Linked DNA regions of Saccharomyces cerevisiae S288C. The gene in region 1 interacts genetically with each later gene. Each region holds a gene or a part of one and is shown in the gene's direction. Other genes may lie near its edges.

The links.
Region 2: mutations in OPI10 (region 1) and JJJ3 together harm fitness more than expected from each alone (negative genetic interaction), as found in Saccharomyces cerevisiae (2 studies listed by BioGRID).

Annotation. Positions count from the first base shown.
Region 1 is NC_001147.6:263,484-267,009, forward strand, and holds OPI10 (Opi10p), read left to right. Parts: upstream 1-1,945; coding exon 1,946-2,686; downstream 2,687-3,526. Other genes in the region: glutamate--tRNA ligase MSE1, read left to right, coding at 1-1,602; SIL1 (Sil1p), read right to left, coding at 2,781-3,526. UniProt on the Saccharomyces cerevisiae protein: Involved in phospholipid biosynthesis.
Region 2 is NC_001142.9:610,585-613,646, forward strand, and holds JJJ3 (Jjj3p), read left to right. Parts: upstream 1-1,828; coding exon 1,829-2,347; downstream 2,348-3,062. Other genes in the region: SFC1 (Sfc1p), read left to right, coding at 1-157; YJR096W (aldo-keto reductase superfamily protein), read left to right, coding at 611-1,459; YJR098C (uncharacterized protein), read right to left, coding at 2,602-3,062.

The DNA of each region.
Region 1 (3,526 bases):
TTGAGAATACCGACACGGTCTTATTGTTCACCTTCGAAGCTAATAAAGGGCGTAGGTCTCTCACCATTGAAGAAATCTCTGTTATCCAAGAAAATAAAGGAAGATATCCATCCTTCTTTACCTGTTAGAACTAGGTTTGCGCCTTCTCCAACTGGGTTTTTACACTTGGGGTCACTGAGAACAGCCCTTTACAATTACCTATTAGCAAGAAACACCAATGGGCAGTTTTTGCTTCGTTTAGAAGATACAGACCAGAAGAGGCTAATAGAGGGAGCAGAAGAAAACATCTACGAGATTCTGAAATGGTGTAACATAAACTACGATGAAACCCCTATAAAGCAAAGTGAAAGGAAACTAATATATGACAAATATGTAAAAATATTACTATCTTCTGGGAAGGCGTATAGATGTTTTTGTTCAAAGGAGCGATTGAACGATTTGAGACACTCTGCAATGGAATTGAAACCTCCTTCGATGGCAAGCTATGATCGATGTTGTGCACACTTAGGGGAGGAAGAAATAAAATCTAAGCTAGCGCAAGGTATACCTTTCACTGTGCGGTTTAAATCGCCAGAACGATATCCAACGTTTACTGATCTTTTACATGGACAAATAAATCTTCAACCGCAAGTAAACTTTAACGATAAACGGTACGATGACCTTATCCTTGTTAAGTCGGATAAGTTGCCAACCTATCATCTGGCAAATGTTGTGGATGACCATTTGATGGGAATAACCCATGTTATAAGAGGTGAGGAATGGCTGCCCTCTACTCCTAAACATATCGCCCTATATAATGCATTTGGGTGGGCTTGCCCAAAGTTCATCCACATTCCCTTATTGACGACGGTTGGTGATAAGAAATTGAGTAAAAGAAAAGGTGATATGTCTATCTCGGATTTAAAAAGACAGGGAGTTTTGCCAGAAGCTTTGATTAACTTTTGTGCGCTATTTGGCTGGTCTCCTCCAAGAGATCTGGCTTCGAAAAAGCATGAGTGTTTTTCAATGGAGGAATTGGAAACCATTTTTAATTTGAATGGTTTGACGAAGGGAAATGCCAAAGTCGATGATAAAAAATTGTGGTTCTTCAATAAGCATTTTTTGCAAAAAAGAATACTTAATCCTTCTACATTGAGGGAGCTTGTCGACGACATTATGCCTTCTTTAGAGTCCATATATAACACATCTACCATAAGCCGTGAGAAAGTAGCTAAAATTTTACTGAACTGTGGTGGTTCTCTATCAAGGATTAACGATTTTCATGATGAATTTTATTATTTTTTTGAAAAGCCCAAATATAATGATAATGATGCTGTCACGAAATTTCTAAGCAAGAACGAAAGCCGCCACATTGCTCACTTATTGAAGAAGCTTGGACAGTTTCAAGAGGGCACCGATGCTCAAGAAGTCGAATCTATGGTCGAAACGATGTATTATGAGAACGGTTTTTCTAGGAAAGTCACGTATCAGGCAATGAGATTTGCTCTTGCGGGATGTCACCCAGGTGCCAAAATAGCAGCCATGATAGATATTTTGGGCATCAAGGAAAGTAACAAAAGATTATCCGAAGGTTTACAGTTCTTGCAAAGAGAGAAAAAGTAATAATAATATTAATAAAAGGTTTCGATACAATAGGGTCATGTAAATACGTCATATACATAATGTAATTAGCCACTACTGTATACGTTTATTTTGTTATTATGATTAAGCTTGATTAAGTTTAATTAAGTTTAATTGAATTTTCTTAATGAAGCCGACCGAACGTTCTGGAAGAGTTATATAGGAATCGGGTACTAAAAGCGAAATTTGGGGATAAAAGGAGAGATCTACATTTTATTTAAAATACGTCAATTCGACTCACCCTTTAAATACGAAAATAAGTGGTCTAATAAATTTGCAAATTCGGAGATTGATAAGAAATATTTGAGTGAGAGAAAATAAAGAAATGTTTGCTGCAATTGCCTCAGGAAATCCATTGCAACTATCGGTAGAAGTCCCCAATTCAAATGGGTTACAGCATACAATTGTCCTTTCTCGAACGAAACCGAAACTATACTCGCATATAACACTGTTTATATTACCTAATGTTACCTTTCCTCAGGATTATATAGCTACAGTCTATTTCAAACTTAGCCCTCAGGAAGAATTTAAACTATTTGGGTACCTAAGCAGTGAGAAACCCAGTGCCATATTCAAAGTGCAAATACCGAGCTCGAAGAAAGACGCTGGAGATACAAGTGATGGATTAGGTGAGATAGACATGGATGTAGATGATGGTTCGGGGGCCGCTGATCCGTTTACTGACACCAATGGAAGTAGCAGTAATAACATATCAGAATTGATTATTGGTATTTCCATTGAGCCTCGAGAACAAGGAATGATGAAATTAGAAGAGTGGAAGGCCAGCATGAATGCCGAAGCACAAAAGAACAACTCATTGATCTTGTCAAGACCTAACTTAGGAATAATTCGAAATATTACCACGGCAGGGCAGTTGGCACAAGTTTACCCTTCATTGACACAAGAATTGGCCGCCAAAATCGTTCAGCATGCATATAACTATTTATCAGGGTTCCTAGATGCTCAGGGAAACGTGCCCATCAAGAGGTTTGATACATGGTGGGACAAATTTAGAAATAGACTGGCCAACGACGGGACGTTTTTGGATGAAGTAACTAAAAATTAGACACGGATATATAATATATCTCTAATAAGATTCACGAAATATTAATTGAAAAAAATATTATTAATATTAAACTATATATGCAATGACAGTGAAATCAGAGTTCATCTCTGAAATTTTTTATTCTATGAGCCATGGGGTTGCCAAAGATCAAGTGTCTGCTGTCGATAAGTTTCTTATCAAATGAGTCTTGTTCAGTATCTCTCTCTTGGAGCCCATTGTCCAAGTTAGATTGCCTGGCTTTACATTGTTGCGCTAACCAATTCAAAAACCCTTTGTTGATCGTGATGTCACTTTTGAAAATTTTCTTCAAGTTGTAAAGGGTGTCAAAAAACGTTCTTGTATGTAGTTCATCTATACTTTTGTTCTGGACCATCTCTTGGAACTCGTTTGCCCACTCTTGCAGATTTGACGACCAATTCTCAGCATTTCTTTTGAACAAAATTAGATTTGTATCGTCATTTTCGTACATGTCGGCCTTCAAAATTTTGCTGATCAACTCCAGGACTTTTATTTGTAACTGTTTGTCCTTGTTGTTTCTTTCATATACATTTTGTAAAACAACCGTAGAGTATATAGGAAGATCTTCGGATGTGACAGGTAATTCGTTTAAAATGGACAAGTATCTTTTTATTAGGATATTAGAGGATCTGTGGTTAGAATCATTCAAATTTGACAGAGCGGCCATGATTTTGCTTTTAAAATTTGGAAAACTTTCATTAATGAACTCGACTACAGGAGGATTGTTTCTCAAGCAGCTGGTAATGACTCTAGTACTGAGCTCTCTCAATGTTAACGGCAAATTTTCATTGAGACTAAGGTTGGCCAAGAGGGCGAATTCAT
Region 2 (3,062 bases), on another chromosome or scaffold:
TTTTAGAGCTTTGTACAAGGGTATTACCCCAAGAGTGATGAGGGTGGCTCCAGGTCAGGCTGTCACCTTTACCGTTTATGAATATGTAAGGGAGCATTTAGAAAATTTGGGTATATTCAAGAAGAATGACACACCAAAGCCAAAGCCATTAAAGTAGATGATGAACAATGGGACTACAAAATGAAATAAAGAAAAAATAGAAATAGGCTAGAAGATCAATTATTAATCGCCCTATTCTTCCTTATTACCTACACAAAATAAAGCAGCAACATAAGAAACAAAAACAAAATGAAAACAAACCAAATAAATCTATGTAAGCATACTCATTTCAATTTGATATTCATTACTTGACTTTTTTGTCCTTATTTGAGGCTCCATAAGCGCGCCATTTTTCCCTACTCCCTTTTTTCGTAAATAGTAATAATGTGCTGAAAAGAACAATGAAGTAGTTATCATACATATTCCGTCGTGTCGATATGAGGGGAGGTGTCTCTTTCTTTCATCCCTTGTCGCAACCTCCAATATATAAGAGCATAAGCAACTGATCTTACTTTAGTAATTAACTTAGCATACCTAGCCCGAAGGAAGAAAAAAAATTCACCTCAACAACATGGTTCCTAAGTTTTACAAACTTTCAAACGGCTTCAAAATCCCAAGCATTGCTTTGGGAACCTACGATATTCCAAGATCGCAAACAGCCGAAATTGTGTATGAAGGTGTCAAGTGCGGCTACCGTCATTTCGATACTGCTGTTCTTTATGGTAATGAGAAGGAAGTTGGCGATGGTATCATTAAATGGTTGAACGAAGATCCAGGGAACCATAAACGTGAGGAAATCTTCTACACTACTAAATTATGGAATTCGCAAAACGGATATAAAAGAGCTAAAGCTGCCATTCGGCAATGTTTGAATGAAGTCTCGGGCTTGCAATACATCGATCTTCTTTTGATTCATTCGCCACTGGAAGGTTCTAAATTAAGGTTGGAAACTTGGCGCGCCATGCAAGAAGCGGTTGATGAAGGATTGGTTAAGTCTATAGGGGTTTCCAACTATGGGAAAAAGCACATTGATGAACTTTTGAACTGGCCAGAACTGAAGCACAAGCCAGTGGTCAACCAAATCGAGATATCACCTTGGATTATGAGACAAGAATTAGCAGATTACTGTAAATCTAAAGGTCTCGTCGTCGAAGCCTTTGCCCCATTGTGTCACGGCTACAAAATGACTAATCCAGATTTATTAAAAGTTTGCAAAGAGGTGGACCGTAATCCAGGTCAAGTTTTGATTCGTTGGTCTTTACAACACGGTTATTTACCACTACCGAAGACTAAAACTGTGAAGAGGTTAGAAGGTAACCTTGCAGCCTACAACTTTGAACTGTCAGACGAACAGATGAAATTTCTTGATCATCCTGATGCTTATGAGCCTACCGATTGGGAATGCACAGACGCGCCATAAAAAGAAAATGCGAACCGTAGAATAACGTATATAGAACATATAATTAGTTTACGTTTCACAAAGTATTAATATTACATGTAGCTTTTTCAGGACTTTCGATCTAAATCAAAGATTAAAGGAGCTGCTAGAGGTAGAAAAGGAAATCATTGACTTTTCTTGAAGATTTATGAGCGGGTAACTGGAGATGGAAATTTTCAGAAAAATTGTAAATGGATGCGATGACTTCGATGTGACGTTACTAGTCTTACCATTGTAAAAACCACTATCGGTGCCAAAAGATAAGCGCAATCAACTAAGAAATTTACCACGCTCTTTGTATTGTATTTATCTCCAATTTAATCTTTCTTTTGGTGTGAAAATTTAGCGAAAATGTCATTGGTGAATTCGTTAACACACTACGAAATTTTAAGAATTCCATCGGATGCAACACAAGATGAAATCAAAAAGGCATATAGGAATCGGTTACTAAATACGCACCCCGATAAACTTTCTAAAAGCATACATGATACGGTTAGCAACGTCACAATCAATAAGATTCAAGATGCTTATAAAATACTATCGAATATAAAAACTCGTCGCGAATATGATAGGTTGATCCTTGAAAACTATAAACGCCAAGGATTTCATAATTGTGGTGATGGGCTGGATGAATTTTCCTTAGACGATTTCTCATTTGATGAAGATAAGCTGGAGTTTATGATGAATTGTCCTCGCTGTCAATTTGTTGGTGGTTTTCATTTTAGTGAGAGTTTGTTAGATGAATGCATTGATAATGTAGACGCTATGGAACGGAGTCATTCTGGTTATCAATTATTAACCCAATGTAGCGCATGCAGCTTATGGCTGAAGGTTAATTTTGACATCGAGGAAGAGCAAGAAGGACAATAATGAAAATGGGAGGGGAAATTGAGCATATCAGATAAATCTGTTTATAGAATTATTATTTTACTTCGTGGGAAATCGAATGGTGTATATAAAAGAGGTTGTAAAATTGACGAAATAAATAGTATTTAGGCAACTAAAGATAAAAAAATATTATTTATTTTTATTCGCGGTGCGTTGCCAGATTTTTTTTGACATGCGGAATTTTGGTAAAAAGAAAAATGCAGATATGAATAGTAAACAAAGGAATAAAAAGCCTTTCATGAAGAAGTTCGTGTTCGAGATCTTCTTCCTTCTTTTTCGCTGTCGACGATAGATATGAATGCTTTTGCCATTGATTTCAAATCCGTCATTAAGCTAACATGACCTGAAGAACTGGCGATTTTACAAACAACTGGAAAGCCTCTCTGTTCAGGCAATAACCATTTATGGTGAACAACACCGTCGCCCGGACCATAGTAAAAATCTTCATAATTCCCATCTTTTATATCTTGTATACCGTTCACTTTAGCACCTCTAACAGTGGGAACCTTGTTACCGTAAACCATGGCCAATGGAGGATATTCTTTGTTCGGGTCGTAATCTAAGCTATCCAAATAATTCTTTGTACGTTTTAAAGTTCTCGCTAAATATTCACAGCTATCTTCATAAGATGTATGGAAGACTTCATCGAAAGGCACATCCCTTGGTACCTGTTTATTATTGCCGGCTACATTCCTAA